4 linked regions of the Rattus norvegicus genome follow. The main gene of each other region encodes a partner of the protein of the gene in region 3 in a complex. Links are inferred from orthologs where the notes say so. Each region holds a gene or a part of one and is shown on either strand. Other genes may lie near its edges.

Evidence for each region.
Region 1: the proteins of Polr1e (region 3) and Polr1b are in contact, whole or in part, in a cryo-EM structure (PDB 8A43), measured with the Homo sapiens proteins. The link is inferred for Rattus norvegicus from reciprocal best matches to the Homo sapiens genes POLR1E and POLR1B. Residues at the interface, in NP_071935.1 of Homo sapiens: Gln27, Ser29, Asn30, Gly31, Tyr69, Thr76, Leu79, Lys80, Cys81, Leu84, Cys85, Met109, Gln110, Pro111, Leu112, Phe113; in NP_061887.2 of Homo sapiens: Lys254, Ser258, Phe259, Ser260, Tyr262, Gln263, Gln266, Ser295, Thr296, Gln297, Ser338, Thr340, Glu341, Ala532, Cys535, Pro541, Ile542, Asp543, Gly544.
Region 2: Polr1e (region 3) and Polr1f share a complex: the UniProt entries of both Homo sapiens proteins name them as parts of the RNA polymerase I (Pol I) complex. The link is inferred for Rattus norvegicus from reciprocal best matches to the Homo sapiens genes POLR1E and POLR1F.
Region 4: Polr1e (region 3) and Polr1h share a complex: the UniProt entries of both Homo sapiens proteins name them as parts of the RNA polymerase I (Pol I) complex. The link is inferred for Rattus norvegicus from reciprocal best matches to the Homo sapiens genes POLR1E and POLR1H.

The regions. Positions count from the first base shown.
Region 1 is NC_086021.1:136,805,477-136,812,844, reverse strand, and holds the end of Polr1b (DNA-directed RNA polymerase I subunit RPA2), read right to left. Parts: exon of another isoform or gene 6,560-7,368; intron 6,505-6,559; exon of another isoform or gene 5,348-6,504; intron 4,543-5,347; coding exon 4,346-4,542; intron 3,915-4,345; coding exon 3,661-3,914; intron 2,431-3,660; coding exon 1,548-2,430; 3' UTR 1,237-1,547; downstream 1-1,236. UniProt on the Homo sapiens protein: Catalytic core component of RNA polymerase I (Pol I), a DNA-dependent RNA polymerase which synthesizes ribosomal RNA precursors using the four ribonucleoside triphosphates as substrates.
Region 2 is NC_086024.1:55,781,295-55,788,662, reverse strand, and holds part of Polr1f (DNA-directed RNA polymerase I subunit RPA43), read right to left. Parts: intron 2,974-7,368; coding exon 2,832-2,973; intron 1-2,831. UniProt on the Homo sapiens protein: Component of RNA polymerase I (Pol I), a DNA-dependent RNA polymerase which synthesizes ribosomal RNA precursors using the four ribonucleoside triphosphates as substrates.
Region 3 is NC_086023.1:64,073,664-64,077,922, reverse strand, and holds the start of Polr1e (DNA-directed RNA polymerase I subunit RPA49), read right to left. Parts: upstream 2,801-4,259; 5' UTR 2,775-2,800; coding exon 2,654-2,774; intron 1,937-2,653; coding exon 1,833-1,936; intron 1-1,832. UniProt on the Homo sapiens protein: Component of RNA polymerase I (Pol I), a DNA-dependent RNA polymerase which synthesizes ribosomal RNA precursors using the four ribonucleoside triphosphates as substrates.
Region 4 is NC_086038.1:1,597,211-1,605,175, forward strand, and holds Polr1h (DNA-directed RNA polymerase I subunit RPA12), read left to right. Parts: upstream 1-2,959; 5' UTR 2,960-3,060; exon of another isoform or gene 3,061-3,141; 5' UTR 3,142-3,153; coding exon 3,154-3,289; intron 3,290-3,518; coding exon 3,519-3,619; intron 3,620-3,783; coding exon 3,784-3,893; intron 3,894-6,679; coding exon 6,680-6,704; 3' UTR 6,705-6,878; downstream 6,879-7,965. UniProt on the Homo sapiens protein: Core component of RNA polymerase I (Pol I), a DNA-dependent RNA polymerase which synthesizes ribosomal RNA precursors using the four ribonucleoside triphosphates as substrates. Can mediate Pol I proofreading of the nascent RNA transcript.

The sequences.
Region 1 (7,368 bases), on a different chromosome or scaffold from region 3:
AGTATGTTATACAGAAGCATACACACAGAATCCTAACAAGCACTGAGAAACACATACAAAGATTAAGGAAAAAAACCCAAATAAACATAGTTACTCACTAATCAGATATATCCAGCTTTAAAGGAGGAAGTCCCACCATTTTAAAAAATGGCTGACAGTGGGGGGGGGGGGTGTCATGCTATGTGAAACATGGCAATCACACAGGACAGGTGCTGCATGATCCCACTCTGAGTTAGAAGGAAAGCCAAACTGACAGGCCAGCACTTGTAGCTGATACCTGCGCTGCATTTGGAACTGTGAAGACGACATCTCAACTTATACACACTCACTTGTAACTCTGAAAAGGTCATCTCAACTTACACCACACACACACACACACACACACACCACTCAAAGGTGCACAAGGAAACTGGAGATGACAGATCTGTGTAGTGCAATGTACAGGAAGTCTTTGTGTCTGGTCTGCGTGAAATTGTGCAACAAAGTCTCTGCTATGTTGGGTGAGTAAGTAGAGGCTAAGAAAACCTTTTTGAGACTGTTGAACCTTCAAGAAATGCTGCCTCCCTCGAAGTGTACTTGCTGCTACATGAGTTTTCAGTCGCACAGACCTTCCTTGGTACCGAGACACTCCTGGCAATCCTAGAGTTCTTCCTTTGATTCTGGCTAGGCACGGTCAAAGGGGATTTGTATGGGTTTTATGCTTTCTCAGGCAGCAAGGGCAAGCAAGATAACTTTGGCAGTTGGAACCTTTCCCAGACCCAATTAATTTGTGTAATGACTGAATAAAAGTAACTGAAATGTGCTAGTTGGGGTCAGTCTTTTCAAGAAGGCTGAAGCCCTTTGCTCCTATGGAAATCATTAGCACCTTGGTGGGCTTCTCTCTACTGTGGCACCCATGACCAACATTGATCAATACATCTAGTCAGTCCCCTTGACTGTGATAATGACAACACGGACCACACCTACATTCCAATCCACCCAGCAAATTATATATACAAAATAGCTTTAGTTTATATGTATATAAAAATAAATATTACGGGCTGGAGAGATGGCTCAGTGGTTAAGAGCACTGACTGCTTTTCCATAGGTCCTGAGTTCAAATCCCAGCAACCATATGGTGGCTTACATCCATCTGTAATGGGATCTGATGCCCTCTTCTGGTGTGTCTGAAGACAGCTACAGTGTACTCATATAAATAAAATAAATAAATCTTTAGAAAAAATAAATATTACCATATGGCTTCCATTTTCTGTTTATTGTACTGCCCTGCTCTAGACGGCGGACACACTCTACTACTCAAAGCAGGGAACAGCGAGTGAACCTGGGCCCAGAAGGGCCCTGCATGACCTATTATCAATTAAGTCATTTTTTAAAGAAGGCACATAATTTTTTTTTTAAAAATGAATGTACCAAAACCAACTTCAGTAGGTTACTGAGACATTTCCGTACTGAAATTCTTATATAGACCCAGAGCAGACCCATAGTATCCTCACTGGATTAAAGGCACCTTTTGTTCTCTTCTCCTAGCGCAGATGGCCGTGATCAAGTTAAATGACGTCCAGTTTCACTTTGATGTTCATGGCAGCCAGCTCAGCTACAAAGTACCGGAAAACATACGGCACAGAGACAGTGTCGATGGAGTCACTGCGGCCACAGACGGTGCAGTTGTATTTTCTGTTACGCATCGCAGACCAAGATGGGGGAGGCTTCTCGAGCAGCGGAGAAAGCAAACTGCCACACTTCACGCATACGTGGGCCACAGAGCGGTCGGAGCAGTTGAAGAGGCGGTCATGCAGAAGGAAAGATGTGCCGTGCGCCAACAGAGCATCCCGCTCCATCTCCCCAAATCGGATCCCACCCTGGACGTTCCTGCCTCCGATGGGCTGGTTGGTGACTTTGTCCCTGGCTCCAGTTGTTCTGACTTGAAATTTGTCTGACACCATGTGTCGTAGGCGCTGGTAATAAACCACACCAATGAAAATGTCAGCCTCCAGCTCCATCCCGCTGATGCCGCTGTACAATCTCTCCGTGCCATAGAAGTTGTAGCCGGCAGCCTTTAACATCTCACCAAAGTACTCTAGGGCAGAGTTCTCCTCGGAGAAGATGAAGGGTGTTGCATCATGGCAGAGACCATGCAAAGCTGCTGACTTCCCAGCCATACTCTCGATTAACATACCTATGGTCATACGGGAGGGAAACCCATGAGGATTAAACAGAATGTCCGGCATCATCCCACTCTCTGTGAAAGGCATGTCCTCAGCTGGCCACAATCTGCTCAAAATGCCCTTCTGTCCGTGGCGGCTGGCAAACTTATCTCCAATAGTTGGGTTCCGGGGGACTCGGACGGTGACGCAGACGCACTTGAACTTCCCACTTCCTGTGTCATTACTGCACACTTTGATGTTGTCCACAACACAGTTTTCTTTACTCCTAAAGAAAATGCATGAAATAAGAAGTCAAGCAGCTTGTTCTGTTTGTGAGTGTCTAGCCCTGGCTGACCTAGAACTTGCAGTGATCTCCCTGTCTCTGTCTCCCATGTGCTAGGAACAGGCATGTGACAAAGAGCCTAGTCAAGCTTGGTTTGAACTTAAAAATATTTAAACCCTGTGGACATGATTAATGTTTCAGAATATATATATATATATATATATATATATATATACATATACATATATATATATATATATATATATATATAATGCTCCCCATCTGCTCACAATGTAAATAGATGTTAGATGATATTCATGACTAGGATTACTAATTGTGTTTATCTGAGAGAATATTAGCAAATGAAAATCTTCTAGGCAAGTCCACTGAAGCTGTCATTATAAATCAGCTAAGATGGGGGTTGGGGATTTAGCTCAGTGGTAGAGCGCTTGCCTAACAAGCGCAAGGCCCTGGGTTTGGTCCCCAGCTCCAAAAGAGAAAAAAAAAAAAATCAGCTAAGATAATTATTCATCTTTATAAAGAGGCCTAAGAACCCAGTATTTTGGCTAGGATTCACCCCTAATGCCATGTTTAAGGAAATGACCATAGAAAGTTACCACAAAAGTAAGACACCAAACACAGCACAGTGCTCATTTCTGCAGTGACCATGAATAACATCAACCACGTGTGTTCACCGCTAGGTCACGCCACCACCTCTCCTGCTGTGGTGTCAGAAGTCAGGCCTTCAGGACAGATTTAGGTCCTGAGGAGAGAGTCTCCCTGATAGATAGGGGTTTCACGGAAGGGCTCTGAGCTGTTCACTATATTTGCCTTTCCATCCCCGTGTGAGGACTCTAAGACAGGGCCATCATGAGGATTCACCTTTAACCCTGAACGCCCTAGCCCACAGAACAGAGAGAATTTCTTTCATTTCCCAGTCTTATCTATTTGTTAGCACAGCAGAGATTTAAAACAATAACTAGCTTATTACCTAAAGTTGTTTCTTCTGTTAGAAGACAACTTAATTGACCTCCAGTAATTTCACTAAGAAACAGCCCATAAGCCAAATGTGGCAACATAGGCCTATAATCCCATCACTTAAGAGGCAGAGGGATCACTCATCACATCTGGGCCAGGTTGGTCAGTACAGTGTCCTCCAGACCAATCAGGCTCCCAGTGGCACACTTTTCCACTCACTAACCAACCAGTAGTCCAACATGTCCCCACACTTACTTATAGTAAACCACGAAGCCTTCTCCGGTGTTAAGGTTTAGGTAGCCGTAGTAAGGATCACCAAACTCCAGCTTTGCTCCTATGAATGGCAAGCCATCATTGTCCAGCTTCTGCATAACCCGTGGGTCACCAGGTTTGACCCCAAATACCAGACTATCATCCCCTTGCTTAAATTTCTCAGAGAGGTCTATGAACTCAGACTTGTAGACACTTCCATGAGCAAAGCCTCGTTCCCAGGAGGCCTTGTTTACAATCTGTGGAGTCAAAGAATCCAATTAATTTATGAGACTGAGAGCAAACCAATTCTTTCAAAATATAACCAGTTAAGGCTGTACTAATATTTGGTTTAAGGTAACCGGCATTTGATTTTGAAACCACATTTCCAAAGTTCTAACACTATCAAGCCCCAGATATGGCTTAAGACATAATCCAAGGTAAAGGGTGAATATAGCAACCTCACATCAACCTTTACTCACAGTGTGTCTGCAGATATGGAAGGTATACACACACTGAGTATCTTTCAATGTCTCCCTCCATTCATCGCAGACCAGGAATTAACCATTTCAAGAACAAATGCATTTACTTTTATGGCCTTGAGGGCACACAAACACTGTGTCAGTAACCTCACAGTGAGGATGTTTACAGTTAAGAACAAGGATTACAGAGGTAGAACTCGAACGCTCACCATGGCGTCCTCCATATCATAGCCAGTGTAGGAGATCACAGCCACAATGGCGTTTGTCCCGATGGGATAGTTGTCCATGTCATAATGATCATACATGCACGGTCTCACTAGAGGGCTCTGGGGTGTCTGGAGACGATAGAGTTTATTATCTGATCGGTCTTGGTAGGTGAGCAGCGGGAAGCCCATGGTCTGCTTACCTACAGAAGAAAAAAAAAGGCTTTGTTTTCAATCCTCAACTCTCAGAGCGCTTCCCAAAACTGCAAAGAGCTAAACACACACCACAGAATGAGTAAGGCAAGCATGGTGGCTCTGCTTATGAGACTAACATCAGCTTTGAGAACCAAGAATATCAGCACCGCCTGGACTGAAATAACGCAGGCCTAGAGTTCAGAACTGCGTTTAATGTACACACTATTTACAGACGCTTGTGACACACAGCAGATGCTATCATTTGCAATATAATGGGAACACTGCGAGCTGCAGAGGACACTGACAAGTATAGGACCCCTGTGGATACACACACAGAATTTGTAATTTGTAATTTGTGACAGTGTTTGTAAATTCTGGGCACAGGTAAGGGGTGCATCTGTGCATTCCTTTACAAGAAATCCTTTCAGAGCAGGACGATTTTAAAACCAAATATGTATACAGAAATGATGGCTACTGGACTGTCAGCTTGACTAGATGTAGAAATTACATAGAAACAAATCTCTGGATGTGTCTACATGGGATTATCTAGGTGAGGTGAACCGAGGTAGGAGACAGGCCTTAAACTTAGAGCTCAGCTCCCAGACTGGATCTAAAGGAGAAAGCAAACTGAGCGCAAAGAGTCACTGCTCCCGCTCCCCATGCTGTGTGGCCGGCTGACCCTGCACCTCTTGCCTCGACAGACTGCACTACCTGGTACAGTAAACCCAAACAAGCTCCTATGTCTGAATGCTCAGGCATCAGAAGTGGCACAGCTAGAGAGGGATTAGTAGCCTTGCTGGGGTAGGTGTGGCCTTGCTGGGGTAAGTGTGGCCTTGCTGGGGTAGGTGTGGCCTTGCTGGGGCAGGTGTGGCCTGCTAGGGTAGGTGTGGCCTGCTGGGGTAGGTGTGGCCTTGTTGGAGGAAATGTGTGTCATTGAGGATGGGCTTTGAGATTTCAAAAATAAAAATAATAAAATAAGTTTTTAATTATTTAATGTTTAGAAAAATCAAGGAAAAGAATTCATAGCATGGCAGCTGCTGGAAAGTAAGAGGTATTTTTTTGTTTGTTTGTTTGTTTTTCTTTTTTTTTTTTTTTCCCGGAGCTGGGGACCTAACCCAGGGCCTTGTGCTTGCTAGGCAAGTGCTCTACCACTGAGCTAAATCCCCCAACCCCCCCCCCCTTTTTTTAAATGTGGCTAACAGAGGAAGAGCCTTTACTCTGCACATATGTTGAGTGTAAACCTTTGGTGAGAACTGCATGAGACTGAGCCAAGTAGCTTAACTGAGACTAAGAACCCAGTTAAACATCAGTCAAGACTGGCGGCTGGGGGTTGGGGATTTAGCTCAGTGGTAGAGAGCTTGCCTAGGAAGCGCAAGGCCCTGGGTTCGGTCCCCAGCTCCGAAAAAAAAGAACCAAAAAAAAAAAAAAAAAAAGACTGGCGGCTGACCGCACCTTCAGAGAGGCCTATCAGGGGCCTAGCTTAAAGGGCTACCAGTGACGTTAGCTGACACAGAGATTACTGAAACACTATAACATAGTGTAAACAGTAAACATAACTCACACTCAAGAAAAACTACAGTCAGTGGACAGCAGTCCTGGGACCACCCCAACATTGGAACAGTAACTTTACAGCATCCACTAATCAGGCTCAACATACACAGGAAAACAAGCCCATAGTGAAGAGGGAACAAATCCCCAGAAAACAAACTGGTAACAAGAACAAACACCCCAACACAACAGGTCTAGACCGAAAGACAACTGGAGTTCAACTCCTAGAACCAGCATAAAGGCAAGAAGAGAGACTATTCCACAAAGCTGCCCTCTGACCTCCACCCTCATGCCGTCCTCTGACTTCTACCCTCATGCTGCCCTGTCCTCTGACCTCACCCTCATGTTGCCCTGCCCTCTGACCTCACCCTCATGTTGCCCTGCCCTCTGGCCTTCACCCTCATGCTGCCCTGTCCTCTGACCTCCACCCTCATGCTGTCCTATGACCTCCACCCTCATGCTGCCCTGTCCCCTGACCTCCACACTCATGCTGCAATGTGCACACCCACACACATAACCTGCACACACAGCAAGGTGAATAACCACAGGGTTATTTATGAAACGCATGGCTAAGTCTTGAAAGAGGAGAAGCAATAAAGAGGAAGAAATAAGTTTTGAAACCCTTGAAAATGTTCCAAAGTTGATCAGTTTTTTTCTTATAAAGACCAGTAAATGCTATCAGAACACAAAGAGAGTCACATCTAGACATACAGCTAATCTCCTGAAAACAAAAATAAAGAACAAGTCCTTTTGTTTTGTATTTTCAAGTCAGGGTTTTTCTGTGTAGCCCTGACTGTCCTGGAACTTGCTCTGTAGACCAGGCTGGCTGCAATCTCAAGAGATCTGCCTGCCTCTGCCCCCTGAGAGCTGGGATTAAAGGTATGTACGCCATCTTGTCCAGCTTCAGAACAAATCTTAAAGAGAGGGAAAACAGTACACTAAGCAGGAAAACTATAATTTGCAAGCCCTGCCTTCTAGTTAGAAGTAACAGACACAGTGAAATAAAAGGACATGTCCACTCAGGATTATATAGTCAGTGAAGATGTCCTTCAGGTGAGCATGAAAAAGAAATTTCGGAATAATGACCACAAGAGGCTCTGTATTAAGTGAACAACAATATGCCACAAGGATCCAAGTGTGGTGTGGGATGACAGAGGCTGGAGGATACAGAGTTCAAGACCAGCCTAAGGAAGGCTGGGGGTGGGGGTGGGGGTGGGAGTGGGGGGTAAAGAAATGACGAATGCTGAGAGCGTGACTCAGACAGACATGAGGAGTACTGAAAGCAG
Region 2 (7,368 bases), on a different chromosome or scaffold from region 3:
TGGAAAATCTAAGAGAAATGAACAAATGTCTGGACACATATGACCTAGCCAAGCTGAATCAAGTCCATTGGAATAGACTGTAACAAACAGGGACACTGAGTTGGTAATGGTCCCGTATGAAGAAAAGACTTTGATTCAATGGCTTCATCACTTAACCTTACCAAACTTTTGAATATGAACTACTATCAACGGTTCCCAAGCCATTCTGTATAAATCAAAACAAAGGTATTAATTCTGTGCATGTTACCTTCGTACCAAAACTTGATAATAATACAAAATGATATCTAGTAATTCATGTTCCCGGTGAACACCTAATTGAAGGTTACAGTGTTATCAAAAACTCATGTAACACAGTCAAGGTAACTAGTTTCACTATAGGGACTTCAGAATTGTGTGACATACAAAAATCAGTTAAATACAATGTAACTACATAACTAGAATAAAGGATTAAAATCATGATCATATAACTAATCAATTCTCACTGCCCTCCTTCTGTAGAGTACTAATCTATAGTGCACTATTAAAAACATTACCTGTCAATAAAGCTCTGATGGCTTATTAGCAAAAGGAAGTAGAAGGTAGAAGTTCCAGGAGAGATAGGAACTCTGGGAAAGAGTCAGGCATGGGAAAATTCACTACCTAGACACAGAGGAAGTCAGATGTATGAAACTGAGAAGAGGTAACCAGTCATGTGGCAGACATAGAATGGTATAAATGATTTATATAAGTTAAGAGATAGCTGAGGAGCAAGCCTAGCTTAAGGCCATATGCATTTTAAATAAAAATAAGTCTCTATGTCCTTATTAAGAAACTTGGCCAGGCTTAGAAAAGACACACACAGTCAGACTAAAGACTAGCCAGGGCAAGTAGGCACTACAATGAAAGAGAAGACACAGCAATAGGAAAGTCTCAATTATCCCCATCTGTAGGCAGGATGACTGAATATATAGATGAATTTAAGGGTTCCACCAAAGATTTTAGAACTGGCAAATGAATTCAGTTAGGTAGCACATACAAAAATAAAGACACGAAATTAATAGCTTTCCTAATAAATACAATTTAACCCTATTCTCAATAGCCACACAAAAATTAACTACTTAAATAAACTCCATTTTGAAATGAAAGCCCTCTATGATGTAAAGCAAAACTAACTAATGAGAGGAAGATAAAATGACAAGAAAGAAACGAAAAGAAACACGAAAGAAAAAGAAATAAACAAAGAAGAAAGCAAGCTGGCTAGCTCCCTAAGTTCTTATGTGGAAGTCCAGATACTGTTACAATGACCATATTGCTAAAAGCAAGCCACAGTGCAATATCCAAATGACTAATAATGTTCTTTATAGAATTTAAAAACAAAATCTTTATACAGATGTACAAAAGACAAAAAACAAAACAAACAAACAAAAAGAGGACAACCAAAGCACAAGAAACAAAAGCAAAAAACACTTAAATGATTGTTAATTGTAGTGAGATTATTATATAAAATTAAAGTACTTCTGTACCTCAAAGGAAACACTCAAGAGTTAGAGAAACGGCACGCAAGACAGGAGAAATGTCAGAGCTCAGAAACATAAAGAACAAAAAAGTAAGTCAAATAAAAATGGACAAATGGGGCTGGAGAGATGGCTCAGTGGTTAGGAGCACTGACTGCTCTTACAGAGGTCCGAGTTCAATTCCCAGTAACCACATGGTGGTTCACAACCATCTGTAATGGAATCTGATGCCCTCTTCTGGTGTGTCTGAAGACAGCTACAGTGTATTCATATTAAATAAATAAATAAATAAATAAATAAATAAATAAATAAATAAATCTATCTTTAAAAACATGGACAAATGATTTGACGAAACACACCTCAAAAGAAGTAGAAGTAGCCAATAAACACATGGGAGAAATGCTCACATTTTAGCCACAGGGGAACTCCGAATCACAACTTCAATGCTATACCTGCAATGGCTAAGCACGCTCAAAGACTGACAGGGCTTAGAATCACCCAGTAGGCCATGGCACACTACTGGGTGTCTATGACACAGTTTCCGAAGAGGATTAACAGAGCTGTGAGAACAAAGGCTGGAGTCCAGAGAGAGTAAGAGAAAAGCAGAAATCAGTCAGACACCAGTATTCCTTTCTGTTTCTTGGCCCAGCAGGATGAAAACTTCTGTACTCTGTGCCTCCTTGCCAAGTAAAGCAGAAGCCAAACAAAACCTTTCATCCTTCAAGCCTTTTCTGTCAAGTATTTTGTTATGGCAACAAGAAAATGACTCGATATTTCACCTAAATGGTTAATACCAACCACAAAAATTACATGGTGAAAAGATGTGAGCAAAAAGAACTCACACAATTGCTCCTGTGAATGTAAGTCAACAGACACTATAGGAATCATAAAAGGTAGTGAGTGCTACCATATGATAATAATCCAAGAGGTAAAATCAACACGGAGCAGAAGAGCCTGTGCACCCGCCCAGGTTTATTCAGCACTGCCCACAACAGGTAAGACGCTGCTGTCTACCACCGTCAGAAGAAGAATGGATAGCTGGAGTTTACATACACAGAGCAATACCATGGAACAAACATATCCACACAGAAGAGAGAATTCCTGTGATCTGCAGTGATGTAGAGAGCTGAATCATGTTACTGAAGCAAACAGGCACTGAAAGACAATTACTGATTTTCTTCCATATGTGGAAACTACAGTTCATTTTTAAAGGAACCCAAGAGAAAACAGTGATTGTTAGGGAGTAGGAAGGGTGCTAGGTCAAGGCATTTCCAGAAAAAAAGTTATGTAAAGGAAGTAAGAAAAAAAAAAAAAAAAAAAAAAAAAGGCTGTACATACCATCAGTTTCTGCCCTGGTTTAGGGCAGAAAATAACAAAATCGGCTTCAATGTTAAGATGAATGTGTCCTTGATCATCATAAATATCTCCCAGTTCACCCACAACTCTGATGTTATCATATGCAATGGGAACACCTAAAAGGCTGTAAAAGGGGGGAAAAGATACTGTTAATCCTAGTTAAAGATAATCTGCTGTTATCTCTCTGACATACCACCCCTTCCCAAACATAATGGTATCACCTAGTCTCATAGGCTAATAACACTAGCCATCCTAGCAATTATCATTCATCAAAATTTCCATTGTCTCAGTTAAAGTGACCAGCAGCACAGGCACTCAGAACTAAGCACTGCAATAAACTGACACTCATATGCTACCTATCTGAATCGGTCATACTAGGGGGAATAATGGAACTAAGCAAGAAAACATCTAGATACTGTCTGACTAAACACAGGCAATTGTGACACTATCCACTATTACTAGTTTCTATATGTGATACTATATAATAAGGGAAGCATGACTGTTTAAGCTACAGCCTGATCACTGGAACCAATGACTTAATACAGAAAAATAACAAACTAAAATCTTTTCTACTGAAAAGAAATGTTAATGGACACAACCATATCATTTGAGAACTGACTTACACTTAAGTAGACACATTTCAAGTCAAGACTAACAGCCTATGATTATTTTAAAAGGCCAATTAACTAAGAAGACATATGAGCTTTACTAATTCTTCCGCACAAAAAACTTCCTGAAGGAAATTTCCCTAACTACACACACACACACACACACACACACACACACACACACACACACCCCACATGTAAAAATGTATTACTGTTTGTAACCTAATTTTATTGAATCCATTTGTACAAATGTTTAGATTCAAAGTACAACTCTAAGGTCATGGACAGAAGAAAATGTTTTATTGGCCTCAATTAAATTTCTAGGACAGTCCACCTAAAGTAAGAAAAAGGATTTCTATATAATAGATTTTATTTTAGTGAAACAGCCACAACCCATAGGAAAGGAATTGTAATAGCTACCAAATTAGGAAACCCATACACTCAGAGATCTTCCAAGGAGAGTACTGAAAATTTAGCTTCTATACATTGTGGCTTACCTAAGGAGGAATCGTACATCATAGGCAATGTGAGGGACGTTGAAACAGAACAAAAGGAAAACACAAGTATCCACCACAACTGTCAAGGAAAAGTCTCTGCTTCTCTTAGAAACCTCCTCTAATATAATACTGAGAAGAATCTAGCGAGGAGACATCGCTGTCCCTAAATGGCACTTGGAAACAAATGTCACTGCTGCATTTATCACAGACACTGCAAAAGCCAGAAAGGAACTCTGCTGTGTACAGAACAGTTCTGTACATGTATGTGCAAGCAGTCTCTATGCAGGATTCTTAAATAAGGGACAAACTTGTTTATAAATTGCTGAGGATAGAATTTACACTTTAAAACAAGTATATCAATTTATATTTGTCAACTTTATATACTCCTAACATACTAAAACACTTGTAGAAATGGAGCAATACTTGTATGCCAGAAAGACTATTTTGTGGTAGGTCAACAGAAATAACCATGTCATAAAAGCACCAGTAACTGTAGATGGAGTGTGTACTATCTGAGCTACACATGCAAAATGTCTGGATCAATCTGCATTTGACTGAAACACTTAACCAGCAACTCTATGAATAAGTGAAGAAGCACCTAACGTCTTAGTTTTCCAGACCATTATGCTCAAATGTCATAGATTAAAATGGTTTACAGGGTTGGGACACTATGTAAAATTTTTAACTATATGGGTAGGTTGTGCTAATCTTTAAATTTCATTTCAGCATAGTGAATGATATTTTCATAACAGTAAACACTGCAAATTATGGCCACCAAGGGGATACCAGGACCCACAGGGTTCAGCATCTCTAAGGACTGTTATGCCCACTGAGTGCAAGGCTAAATGAATTTGTGAAACCCGTAAGACTTTTGGGAAACTACTTAGAGTAACCTACCAAGCATCACATATTCAAAGACAGATTTCTTAACACTAAATATCTTCTCTTTATTTAAAATATATATATATATATATATATATATATATATATATATATATATATATATCTCAATACATACGGTCCACATGAGGTTCACATGGTAACTTCACCTAGGATATATAGGAGGCAACTAGATCAAGTTTAAGGGACATTTTAAGCATTTAAGACTTCCTTGGGACTAGGAGGATAAAATGCATCTGACATCTTTAAATAACCCAAGGGTGCCAAAGTATGCTGTGTTTTATTTTATTCCCTGACAAATGGCCTCTTAAAGGTTCAACTTAGAAGCTACGATGTGATTTCAGAAAACTACTTACTTTCTCTAAGAGAACAGTCCAAAGTTGAAATAGGATATTTTTTGTAAAATAAAATCCTGCCACAGAGAAAGAGAGGCAACAGTCTGACTATTAGGAAACGCTGTTAAGAAGACTTAAACATTAGCACGGGAGTCTCAATTCCATATATTTTTTAAATAAGAAGACAGACGTACTGGTGCTTCAGGACCGCCCACAAGTCTAAAAACATAAACTATACAGGATAAATGGTACAAATAACATGGGACAATTAATATGGCAATATAATTCTCATTATTTCAACGTTTTATCCCTTGATTTATTAATACTCAACTAATACTCGAGTAACACTGGAACCTAATATGCACTGTGGGGGAAAAAGGCCTTTTTAAGCATACTTTTGGCATAGTATCAAGGAAGGGAGGTGTCCAGATCAATTAAACAGTATATTCTATTCTAAATGGCTGCATTATCCAATTCTGTTACAGAAGTTATCAGTTTCTCATCTGTAATAATGACTCCTATTATACACCTTTATATAATGTTTCCCTAATGGATGAAAAGCTGTTTAGAATACTTAACATAACTGCTTGTGTTTTCATGTTAGTGATCACCTTGTATATTCTTAAATCTTTCGACCCCTTTAATCATTTTCCTTTCAATAACTGCTAATTGATATCTTTACTTACTGCCTCATCCTATTTAAAATATCTAATTCTAATTTGTTTCTTAAATTGTAGATGTAACCATGTCCCAGGGACCTCAAACGTGTACCTCTCCTCTCAAGAGAGTTCCAAGTCTCAACTGGAGGCTAATAAGTGGATAAAGCAACAACTGTGCTGTAAGAATCAAAAACTGGCAACTGAAGAGATGGTTCAGCAGTCAGGAGCACTTGCTGCTCCTGCAAAAGGCCCAGAATCCATTCCCAGCATGCACTTGTGGTTCACAATCATCCATAATTCTAATTTCTGAGGATCTGATACCTTCTTCTGAGGGCAGCAGGCATGCACTTGGAACACATACACACATGTAAGCAAAGCATAAATAAATAAATAAATAAATAAATAAATAAATAAATAAACAAACAAACAAACAAACAAACCTAATACAAACGAAAAGAGGAGCAGGAGAAAAAAAAAAAAGAAACAGATAAAGACAATGGGAGGAACGTAATGGCCATCTTCTAAGTCTTCGACACTCTCCTAAGGATCCACGGCATGTGTTTCCCCTGACTACTACAATTACGGAGTGTTTACAGGCCTCTGCTCCCAGCATTCTAGCTTACATTTACTACCCATCTGTTTATGGCACTCACTGGCTAGAATGCCATCTAAATACCAGCCTATTGTGTCGTCCTCACAAAATCTAATTCCACTTTCTCACTATAACTTGTCAAGTTTTAACAGCTCACTGGATTTGATTTACATTATATCCCCACAGTACCCGAAAGCTCCTTGAAAGTAGACTCTTACTTCTATCTCTCTATCCCAACTCCAAACGTAGATGTATGCAATGGTGCTTGAAGGATGCTGTATTACTATTATTCTAGGTAGGCTTGATGGTTAATGGAACTGACTGCACCCGAATCCTCCAGAGTGGTAACCGCTCTGGCTAATTTGCCCTAGAGAAATCACAAGGGAATCACTACAATTTCTGAAGTGTCACAGAATTACTGAGGACATCAAATGATGTCTCAGGTATCCATAAGCCACAGTCTCAGAACCTCACCCCACTTCATTCCAAATTAGTTGTGGAATATTACGGTCTATCACTTTCCATTGAAATTTTGAGATTTTTTTTCAAGTTAACTCTTCTACAGCTTACTATAAATGCACTAGTGTGTGTGTGTGTGTGTGTGTGTGTGTGTGTGTGTGTGTGTGTGTGTGTGTGTGTGTAAAACGAGGTTCATCACTCATCCCCAATTAGGCCTCAGAAGAGGAAAAAAAAAAAACAAAGAAATTACTCGAAACAAACCTGCCTGTGTTTTGCAATGAAACGACTTATCCATTTTAAATGTTGTCTTTCACATTAGTAGAATCTAATACTAACAGTAAAATGTCATTGCTAAGTGAGAACACACCCGGAAGTGACTAAATGAAACCTTTAATACCCAAACAAAGCTCATCCCGGTGGGTTTCTAGACACCAGGCACTACTGGTCTCCACACAGGGGTGCTTTTAGC
Region 3 (4,259 bases):
GCAACCACATGGTGGCTCACAACCATCTGTAATGGGATCTGATGCCCTCTTCTGGTGTGTCTGAAGAAAGAGACAGTATATTCACATACATATAATAAATAAATCTAAAAAAAGAAAGGAAAAAGAAAAATAAAACCATGATACTGGTGGGGAAATGAAGTGGAATAAAACAGACTTAGAAAAAAAGCGTTTTTCTTCTCATATGCAAAGTCTGGGTGTGACTCTGTGAGTGTGTGAGTGTGCACACATTCAAGGCATGAGAGTAGAATCATAATTAAGAGTTGTAAAAGAAAGGAAAACCAGAGAGAGAGGCTGATACAGTATGTATGTAATGAGATAGTTATGTGTTGCGGGTGTTTGGCCTTTATGCATATATGCATGCCTTATTTATGAAGTGCTCACAGGAACCAGGAGAGGGTGTTAGGTCCTCAGGAACTGGAGTTATAGACAGTTGTTGCCTCCATTTGGGTGCGGGGAATTGGACCCAGGTCCTCTGGAAGTGCTCTTTACTGCTGAGCCACCTCTCCAGCCCAGTATGTATGTCATGAAAGACTTATTTGGGAGGGTGGCAAGCAACCGGCAAGAGGGAGATATGGGGGATGGCAGCGGGCAGAAGGCAGTGGGAATACAGATAAAAATAGCAGTTGGCGGCACAACAGAACTAACCAGTGAGGCCTTGGTCTTCTAGCACTTACAGGTACCGGGATCCTGTCCAGAACTGCCTTAGCCCAAGTCCTAGATCTTTGCCGACCTTTCTGACATTAGCTCTCCCTATGCACCGAGGCCACTGGAAACGGCTGGCTCGATTCCCATCACAGACAAGCTTTTCTTCTCTGTCTTTTCACTATGGACACCAAACGTCAGCTATCACACCATCCTTCATTCCGATTCACCCTTCTCGGGAAGGCATTCAGACGAGCAGAGACTAGGTTTCCTACAGAGCTCGCTAGGCTCTAAGCACTCCCTTAGACCCCAAGCTGCGTCTACTGTATGCCTGTACTACTTGGTGAATTTGAGTCTCTGGAGGGCAGATGCTCTTAACCCTGGCATCCACCCAGGAGAGGCCAGAGATGCTACAAAGCATCCTGTGGGGCTGGGTGGTGGTGGCACATGCCTTTAATCCCAGATCCCTGCACTCAGGCGGAGACAGGTCCCTGAGTTCAAGGCCAGCCAGGGCTACCCAAAGAAACCTTCAAAAAAACAAGAAAAACAAAAAAGCATCACTCTGGGGTCAGGAACACTCTTCCATGGGACCTTCATGGGATTCCCAGCACCCACAAGGTTCCACAACCAACCATTTGTAACTCCAGTTCTAGGGGACCCAGTGCCCACTTCTGACTTCCATTAGCTACACACATACACAGAACATAGACAAAAATGAAAAACACCCATACACATAAAACAGGGTTGAACCTGATCTCTGAACAGCTTCCCTAGGAGTTGCAAATCCCATTAAGGTGCTTCCTTAGCCTGCTACAAGAGGACATGGTGAATATTCAATAAGGGGGAAACATATGAAGCCAGGAGTGGCTGGTGCTGCACACCTTTAATCCCAGCACTAGGGAGTCAGAGACAGGTGACTCCCTGAGTTCAAGACCAGCCAGGTAGTAAATTCCAGAATAGTCAAGGATAAACAAAGAAAACCCGTCTGGAAAGATAAAAACCCATATAAGTGAAAAGCTATCCGTTCACCCCAAATCTTGCTCCTCAATGGAGCCAGAGTCCCATTTGCTACTCCTTCGTTTCTCCCCCTACCCCCCGCCATGTCTGCCCACACCAAGAACCTTCTGAGGTCTGCAGAACCCAGACAACCTGTACCAGCAAGCACTTACCAGGATCCGATGGCACTTCTGCCTGGGGTTTACCAAGTCGGTGCTGTTGTACAAGGTGAAGCGCATGTTGCCTGGATTCTGCAGCTTCCCATTGGAGAATTGGACTGTAAGAGTGTAACCAAAGAATGAGACACGGGCGGAGTTGGGGATTTGGCTCAGTGGTAGAGTGCTTGCCTAGCAAGCGCAAGGCCCTGGGTTCAGTCCCCAGCTCCGAAAAAAAAGAAAAAAAAAAAAAAAACCAAAAAAAAAAAATCCTCTTTAGGGGCTGGGGATTTAGCTCAGTGGTAGAGCGCTTACCTAGGAAGCGCAAGGCCCTGGGTTCGGTCCCCAGCTCCGAAAAAAAAAAAAAAAAAAAGAATGAGACACGGGCAGGACCAGCAGGGTGAGGTGGGGGATAATGAGGGGATTGCATTGTGGCTGGAAGCCGGTAGCGACGGCAAGGAAGCTCATGTCCGACTTTTAGGGGGATTGAAGGAAATCCTGGTTCAGTTCTAAAGAGGGAATTGGAGGAGGGGAAAGAAAGTGACCTCGTGGTAGGGTTGTGACAGAAGAAAATTACTGAGGGAATTCCATTTACTGGCAAGAGAGGGAACTCTGCTCCTAGAGGGGAAAAAGGGCGAATGAGAGACCTGTGGAGATGTCAGATCCTGGGCAGTGTCCTAAGAAGTATACGAAGTGATGACAGATGAATGGAGGGAAGAGGTGATGGTGGCAGGGGTCCTGTCCCAGCTCCAGGCAGTGGACAGGGAGCTACCGTGGTACCCAGATCTTGGAAGGGGACAGGGTTATGCGGAACTCTGCTCCTATCCGGCGGTCTTTACCCAGCACAGCTTTCTGCCTGTCGTCGGGCTCTCCACAGTACTGCCATCTTGCACTCTGTAGCACCTCTGTCTCCGTGTCTCCAGTCTGGCCATCCATCCCGGGAGAATCCGGCGTAGCCATGAGCTCGCTGGTTCACACGCGGACTCACAAACCGGAAGTGATATCTAGTCCCCGCCCAGAGCACTCCAGCAATAAGACCACGCCCCTTACAGGGTAGCTCTCGTCTCCGCCCATTCTTGGTTCCTCCCGCGATGACCACGCCCTTTGTAGGAGGGTGCAGTACCTCCTCTTTCCTAGCTGGCCTCCAGATGAAGAGCTTAGCTTTTGTAATGTATTTCTCCCCACAGGCTCTAAGCTATGGGACCAGTCCTAGACCAAAATCTCCAAAACTGAACCAAAATAAAAGAAACCGTTCCTCTTTAAGAGCTGTCTTCATTTTGTGTTGTTATTGTCGTTCTAGGGAGACTATCACCTTGTCTGTAATCCTGGTTGACCTGGAACTCGCTCTGTAAAACAGAATGGCCTCAGATTCACAGAGATTGGACACTCGGTTTTGTCTCACATGTTTTGTTAAGGTAATATTAAAAAAAAAAACCTGACTAATGTAGGTCCTTTCCTTAAGTAATTTCAATACAGCTACCCGAATAGAAAACTAACAGTGATACGACCATGTAATCTTTCTTTCTTTTTTTTTTTTTCTTCTTTTTTCTTTTTTTCGGAGCTGGGGACCGAACCCAGGGCTTTGCGCTCGCTAGGCAAGCGCTCTACCGCTGAGCTAAATCCCCAACCCGTAATCTTTCTACAGTATCCAAATTCCCCAACTGTCTCGATACGGCCTTTACAGCTAAAAGATCCTGTCCAAAATCTTGTTGCAGCCTTACGCTTGTAATCCCCGCATTTGAAAGGAGGGCTGCCGTGAATTTGAAGCCAACTTGGGCTCTAAATGAGAACTGACACACACGCAAATTATACTTTGCTTCTACCTGTCAGAACTCCTTGGTTGGAAGGTTACTTTCTCTGACTCTTCTCAGTGTTTTTCAATTGATTGTTTCCAGAAGACGAAAGGGGCTTAGTTAACTAATTAGTCATCTGCCTCTTCCGTGAGTCTTTTCCATACACAGCTTATTTGAAGTTAACAACGCAGTGAATGTTAGAGCCTATTAGAAACATTTTATTTGTTAAATTATTAATTTATTTGGGTCCCAAGAGGGAATGTGTGGTAGAGCAAAACTGCTCCTTTGGTGGTCAAGTATGAAAGGAGGAAGAAGGGGCTGAGGTCTGTATTCCTTTTAGGCTGAGGCTGTCTTCAAACTCCACTCCTTCTGTGTCTGAGGGAGACTATGAACTCCCCACCCTCCTGTCAAGTGCTGGCATTGCACCATCACACCCAGCCAGAAATTTTATTTCTTTTCTTTCACTTCTGCACCTCCAACTCCTGGAAGGTCCCGTAAAAAGAAAATGGGAGAATCTCAACAAATGTTGAGTGAGAGGGCTGGCAAGATAGCTCAGTGGATAAGGCACTTGCTACCAAGTTTGATGGCCTTCTTTGGTGGAAGAAGAGAGTTTACTCGGTAACATATACCTGCACACACAAAAAATAAATAA
Region 4 (7,965 bases), on a different chromosome or scaffold from region 3:
ACCATGTTTGGTTTATATCCCTGGGACGCCTGCCCTTTTCTGAAGGGAGAGGGGAGGGACTGGGAAGAGAGGAGGGAGAAGAAACAGCAGTTGGGATGAAAAATGAGAAAAGAATAAATTTATTTATTTATCTATTTATTTATTTAGAAATCAATCACTATTGGGTCTGGAGAGATGGCTTAGTGATTAGGAGCACTGGCTACTTTCACATCTCAGCACCCATATGACCGCTCATGACCATCTATAACTCCAGTAATGAATCAGACACCCCTTCTGATCTCCATGGGCGCAAAGCGTGCATGCATGTGGCATACACAGATATACTCAGGCAAACACTCAAAACAAAGAAGTAACCCTAAAAATATTGTAAAGATTATCAATTATTTGTATCTATAGTCACTCTACAAGTGATAAGCTTCATAATATTAGAGGCTCTTATACCTAATATTTTGTCTCACTGACTTCTCAGATATTCTTTTAAGATTTATTTCTATTTTTAGTGTGTACTGCCATTTTGTCTGCATATGTCTATGTACCACATGCATGTAGTCACTCAGAAACCAGAAGAGGGTGTGAGATTCTCTGGGACTGGAGTTACAACTGTTAGCTGTTATGGCTGGCTATCGCTACCAGTGGGAGTTGAACCTGGGTTCTCTAGAAGAGGAACAAGTGCTCTTAACCAGTAGGCCATCTCTCAAGCCCTTCTTAGATATTTGCTTATTGCTTTGAGATTGAAAAAAAAAATTACCATCCTAGAGCCTGATGTGGAGGTTTTGTGACTGTAACCAGACACAGGCGGATAGGCAAGAGTACTATGAGTTCTAGGTCAACCTGGGCTATGAGACCCTGCTTCCGAAAAATAATGGCCACCTCCCTTGCACTTCTTCTTTATAGAATACATTTTTTATGTGTGAGTGTTTTGCTTGCATGCATGTTTGTGCACACTTGCATGCCACTGTGGAGGTAGGACGAAGGCATTGGATCTCCCAGAACTGGAGTTATAAATGGCTGTGGGCATCCATGTGGCATGGATGATGGAAAATGAACCGGGGTCCTCTGAGAGCATCCAGAGCTCTTAACTACCGAGCCATTTCTACAGCCAGATACTTTCATTTCTTGCACAGGGCATCCAATATGGTACTATGATCATAAGTCTCAAAATTCTAATCATTATCACACAGTAGCTAATCTTTCCCTCACAACTATCTCAGGGTTGGGGATTTAATTCAGTCGTAAAAGGCTTACCTACTGAGGCCCTGGGGTCCATCCCAGCAGGCATGCATGCACACGCATGAGCACCCCCACACACATGAACCATAACAGAAGTTTGTTACATGTTGAGGCTGGCTTGGACCTTGCTCTGTAGCCCAAGATGGCTTTAAACTCACAACCCTCCTGCCTCAGCTCCCCTAGTACTAAGATAAAGGGATGCACGACCACACAGACATGCTGTATCTTTTATTAAAGCGTGTGCCAGTCTTCCATGAAATCTAGAGCTATATACTGTAGACTTTGTATCTCTGGTTCAAGCACCGACTAGTGTATTTTCTCCATATTCTAACTTTTCATCTGTATTAAAGAGAGAACACAGATTTCAACTACACAGTCTGGTCTCAGCTCTAACCCTTACACAGGTGCTAAATATGTATTGGACAGACAGAGCTTTTAATGGGAAAGGAACGTCATGCCTTATACTGCTTGTGCAGTAAAGGCAGCGGTCAAACCACGGTGGATGTCTGAAGAATGTCCAACTTTAAAGGGAAAGTGGGGCTAATTTCTACTTTGAAAGAAGACACAGGTAAAATTTAGAGTTCAACCATCACAGTCTCGGCAACAGAGCTTTGCCAGTTTCACCCCTAAGTAAAACGACAGGGTCTGTCCTCCGGCATCTTGCTCAGGGGTTTTAACTACTTCTCCAGGGTTTAATCTCACAATAAGTGCACAGAAAGACAGATGAGGGTCTCTTCTATGAAAGAGTAGTTTATGTCCTTTAGAAAGTAGTTATGTGACTTAGCATGGTAATCAGGTTGGCTGCTGGAGGGCTGGGGACGCTGTCTTCAAGCTGGTCCTTCTTCAGTATACGTTTTCCTTACTTTGTACGCTTCTGGTGAATGAAACGACACGACTTTACATTTACTCTATTGTTCACTTACTGGATGGCAGGTATTTAAACACGGGTGAATGGGAGCTTAGGAGAGTGGAAGATGGTCTGCAAGTGAAAGCCAAGACCAATCTCCTAGTAAATCCAAAGAAGTGCTTTAATAACTAACCTCCCTCTCCCTCATCTGGCAAGTGCCTAGGGAGAGAAGAGCCCTAGTCACACCAGTTGCACCATCTTCAAATCCCTAAACTCCCTCTCACCCTCACCATTCCACACTCCTTACGAAGCTGACTCACTCAAGTGCTCAGAACTGCCCAAAGCTGACGCGAGGAAGCCGGTGTAGCCGAGAGACGAACGGCCAGGAGGGCCCAAAAGAATGCTTCTTAGCTTTGCTTTTGACTACTGAGCGGCTGCAAAAGGAAAACAAAACGGTCTCGGGAACCAGCAAAAGTTGCGGTTCTCTCAATCCAAGAGGTATCAGTTGCTCTGGAAAAATCAGTACAGTTTTAGGGGGACGCTCCCGCCCCCTTCCCCTGCTACGTGTAGGATTCCCTGCAAAAGCAAATAGTCCAGGATTAGTGCGGAGCAGGAAAATAGCGAGTGGCCTAGCACTAGCTACTCGCCTTAACTTGGTCGACGTCATAGTCCCAGACTGCGTGCCGCCGTATATTCCCTTCCGCCAGAGGTTCGGCTCCTTCCCTTAAGCGGCCTCGAGTACCTGCGCCATTAATTATGACGTCACGACCCAACGGCCACCAGGACCCGGAAGACGCTCTAGCCCGCCGGGCGCACTCGCTGCCTGGCGCCTTGGGATCGGACGCTCTAGCCCGCGGCTGGGATCTGTACTCTATCTCCCTTCCGCCTACCTCCTGCCGCACAAGGCTCCCCAGCAGCTGAGGCTCCAGGCTCCTAGCACTCCAAACTCTGCGGTCAGAGGATCCTGTGGGAGGAGGACTCAGGTAATTCCCGCTAGGGAAGCGGTGAGGAACCACCTTCAAGGCCAGACTCCTGCGCCTCAATAATAAACTCCTCTTTCCCAGCTCTCATCCGCCATGGAGCTGGCCCGCCCCTGCTCCAACTTTCAATCAGACTTGGATTTCTGCCCAGATTGTGGCTCCGTCCTGCCGCTGCCTGGAGTTCAGGATACTGTCATCTGCCCTCGTTGTGGCTTCTCCATCGATGTGCGAGGTGAGGGGCTGGTATGCTAGCTACGTCCACGATGGAGGTGACCTCAGCACTGGTTGGGCTTAGGGAGGTGAGACTCAGAACAGGAATCTGTTAGGGAGACATTGACCAAGGGAAGAAACTCAAAGGGAGGTCGTGACTCACCTGGGAGAGTGTTGCTGGGATTCGTTGCCTCTTTTGCTATTTCTACTGTTATTTTTTATTGGTTTGTTTATTTTTACTTCCTGTGCAGATTTTGGAGGGAAGGTTGTGAAGACCTCAGTAGTGTTCAACAAACTGGGGACTGTCATACCTATGTCTGTGGATGAGGGACCTGAATCCCAGGGACCAGTAGTAAGTTGATAAGGACTAGCTCCAAAAGAACAATGGAAAGGGGAATTGGGAGACCTGGTTTTGCACTCCATTCCGTGAGAATGTCCAAGGAGTGCAATAGTCTGATTTCTATGTGGAAGCAGAGACTATGATTAGAACTCCATAACCCTTCTGTTCCTTCCTAGGTTGACAGGCGCTGCTCCCGATGTGGTCACGAGGGAATGGCATACTACACCAGACAGATGCGCTCAGCTGATGAAGGACAGACTGTCTTCTATACCTGTATCAACTGCAAGTGAGACGATTACCCCTCCCATTGCCCCTTTTCAGTGCTTGCAAAACAACATTAATGACAGACTCATATTATTTCATTTGGTCCGGTTCATTAGAGGAGGGTTTGTAGCCCCTTTTTATTTTTATTATTTACTTGGCGTTTTTCAAGACTTAGAGCTCACCCAGGCTGGCTTTGAACTCTCAACCATACAGCCTAGGTTAACCTCAAGTTTCCTGCCTCTGTTTCCTGAGTGCTGAGATTCAAGCATGTGCCACTGCAGCTGGCTTGTTAAAAAGACTGTTTATCTTTTAAAGTTATGTGTAGGTGTTTATATCTGCATATTTGAACGTGCAGGTACCCACCAAGGCCAGAGACCTTGGGTCCCTGGAGCTGGAATTACAGGTAGCTCTGAGCCTTTGGATGTGGGTGCTGAGAACTGAACTTGGATCCTCTGCAGATCCTCCTAAGCGTTGAGCTATCTCACAGCCCCCCCAACACCCACCCCCTTACTGTTTTTACAGCTAGTTTTCTAAACCTATTAAGATGTATGAAAAGAGAGCTATGTGTGGTAATGTGTGCCTCAAAAGGAGGATCGTGGTTTCAAGGCCAGCCTGAGCTACACAGGCTGTCACCAAAGCAAAATGAAAACCAAAGCTTCTAGGAAAATTTAAAGCACAGGAAGTAGGCATTGTTCTGCACAGTTGGACAACATGCTGAAATTTTACACTGTGAAGGAGTGACTTGACATAATCTTGCATGATTCAAAGGACGTGGTCTGGATGGTTTGGAGCAGTCTTGTCTTGGTTGTTGTGTAGTTCTACATAATTGTGTGGCTTTCTGTGCTTTTGCTTTTTGTTGTTTTCCTTTCTCCTGGGGGTACCGCTTTAATTCTCGGCCTCAGGCATGTGAAAGAAGTGCTCTGCACTCAGTGGTGCCCCGAGCTCTCTTGTATTTGTTCTCTTTAGAATTGTAATTAATGTTTTTCTTCTTCTTAATCTTCTTATGCTGCTTCTACCTCTGAGATTCAAGGATTACAGGCGGGTCGGTGCCACCATAACTGTTCTGAGGATCCAACTCTGAGCTTTGGGAGAACTATATAAGCACTCTTACCAGCTCAACCACATACCAGTCCCTTAGGTTTCCCAAGCTGAGACTTGACTTACCTTTTGTCAGTCTGGAAATATATCAGCCATTATCCCATTCCAGTATTGCTTGTCCCCCATGTCCTCAAATTTCTTATTAGACTTTCACATCTCTCATCTTTGTATTTTCCATCCCATTTCTGTTTATAGAGTCTTCTGGGTAATTTCTCCAGATCTTTCTTACAGAGAGGTCAGAAAAAGATGTCAGATTTTTCTCTTCAGTTTGTATGTTTGTGGTGGGGAGAATGTTGTAGGTGTAGTGTATTTATGTGTTCATGTGGATGTATGCATGTATTTGTGCATGTGTATATTTGGTAGCCAGTGTTAGACACTGGGTATTTCTCTCTCTCTCTCTCTCTCTCTCTCTCTCTCTCTCTCTCTCTCTCTCTCTGTGTGTGTGTGTGTTTTGAGACAGGGTTTCATTATATTCTTGGCTAGCCTAGAAATCTTTGGAGACCAGACTGGCTTCAAACTTCCAGATACCAATCAGCCTCTGTCTCCAGAGCGTTGGAATTAATGTATGCCGCCACTTCCAGTTCTCCACATTATCTTACGAGGCAGAATCTCTGATCCTGGAGCTCAGACTAGGCCGGTTACCCAGTCAGTGCGTTTTGGACATTCATTTTCCCACTGTCCCATGTTTCCCAGATCTAGTAGAGCCCATTCTGTACATGTGGACTACCACACCCAGAATTTTCTTTACTTTTAAATGGATCCCAGGAATCCAAATTCAAGTTTTCATGTCTGTGCAACAGACCCTTTCCCAGCTGAGCCGTCTCCTCTGCCCTCCCCTTCATTACTACTTTTTTCAAATGTCACGAACCATCCAGTTAGCTTGTGAGTCATTTTAAATTTTCAATCATTTCACTTAACACTTTTATGTGTGTGTGTCTTGCTTGCATGTGTGTAAGTGCACTGTTTGCATGTCCGGTACCCAGAGAGGTCAGAAAAAGATGTCAGACTCTCTGGGACTGAAGTTAAAGATGGTTAGATGAGCCACCAGGTGGGTGCTAAGGATCAAACCTGGGTTCTCTGCAAGAGCAACAGGAGCTCTTAACCAGTGAGCCAACTCTCTGCACCCACTAATCATTTAAAGTTGCCCCTTTTATTCTTTAAATGTGTATGTTAAGTATATTAAACGTGTGTGTGTGTGTGTGTGTGTGTGTGTGTGTGTGTGTGTGTGTGTGTGTGTGTGTGGTGATTCTAAGATCCACCGTTTCTGTGGATCTGATACTGTCTGTTTCTGCTGATGTCTTCACGGTATTGTTTTGCTTTGCAATGTTTGACTGTGTGCTACTTATTTTATGACTTGAATTCTGGGTCTCTTTCAGTGTGGGTGAACCCAGGTAGCGTTCCCAGCGTTTATAGGGTTCTTCGAGAAAGATCTGTTCCTATTGTTTCCAGCTACAACCTTTAAAAAAAAAAATTATGGGTTACAGTTTAGCCTTTTCTTTTTCTTGGCTAGTGATTTTCTGTCCTGGGAAATCTTTGCATACTTCATAGTAAGAATTAGATACTGGTCACCGTGAGGTTAGAGGTAAAGGGTGGTTTGGGGGACGCTCACCCATCCCTGTCATAAGAAAAACGTCCTTCATGGGTTGGATCTCATCTCAGACTGCTAGAAATCCTTTTCGGTTAACTACAACATGTCTTCTTTCTCCATAGGTTTCAGGAAAAGGAAGATTCTTGACCCCTTTTTCTGGCAGCTCAGCGGCAGTCCTTTCCTCCTCTTGGACGTGAAGATTCTGGTCTTTGATGCCTTCTTGGTCTCCTCCGGTTATCAGGCTTTGTTTTCAGAATAAGATCATCGACCCAGAGTACTCCTTCCCCTTGTCGAATTTACTAAAGTTATTTTTCTATGAAACTTTGACGTTATCTGTGTCACTCTAAATCTTCTGTCCTGGTCGGGCACTGGTGATATTTGCCCTGTCACGGATAGACGGACAAGGAATTCAGGGCCAGCCTGAGCTACCTAACAAGCTAAAAAAACTAAAAAAAAAAAAAAAAAAAAAAAAACCCAATAATCGGTCTCATTCCAAAGGGAATTTAAGTGAAACAGAGATCCAGCTATAAAAAAAGAAAAAAACTATAATAAAATAATGGAGTTGGGCATGAGGCTGTTGTGGGTCTAAGAGATTCCCAAGGATCATAAATAAATTTTAATAAGAGGCTTTATTAAGTACTCATGGCACCAGGACTGCAACTGAGAGCACTCCCAAGATGCAGCATCAAAGCCTATAAAGTTAAAAACCACCAGATTACATATACTCTGCCTGCATGTAGGCAGAGTCTAATTTTAGCATTAGTGTCTTAGCCATTGAGCAGAACAGGTAAATTTGGGGTTAAAAGTTTTGTGGATGGGGGTTGGGGATTTAGCTCAGTGGTAGAGCACTTGCCTAGCAAACGCAAGGCCCTGGGTTCAGTCCCCAGCTCTGAAAAAAAGAAAAAAAAGTTTTGTGGATGGATTGGTGTCTCTAGTGCTCCACTGGGGTTCCTCTCTGGCTACAAGAGGTGGGCTCTTCAGAATTCATATCCCCAGTGTAGTGTGAGTCATAGCAAAGGCCACCTCCATTGATTCTTGGGTGCCTTCCCTTATCCCTCATCCTGGAGAGAGCCCCCCAACCCTCCACCTCCTCACCCGTTAGTTGCAGATTTTTTGTTCATTTTGATGGCCATCCAGCCATCTCTCCTTTCCCTCCTGGCACCTGATCCTGAACCCATTCCCTTACCTATCCCCCTCCTTTCCAGTTCCCTCCCTCCATCTGCCTCATGACTATTTGATTCCCCCTTCTAAGTTAGAGTCAAGCTTCCTCACTTGGGCCTTCTTGTTTAGCTTCTTTGGGTCTGTGTAATGTAGCATGGTACCTGTATTTTATGGCTAATATCAACTTATAAGTGAGTACATACCGTGCATGTTGTCCTCTGAGAGGCTCCACCCAGTTGCTGACTCA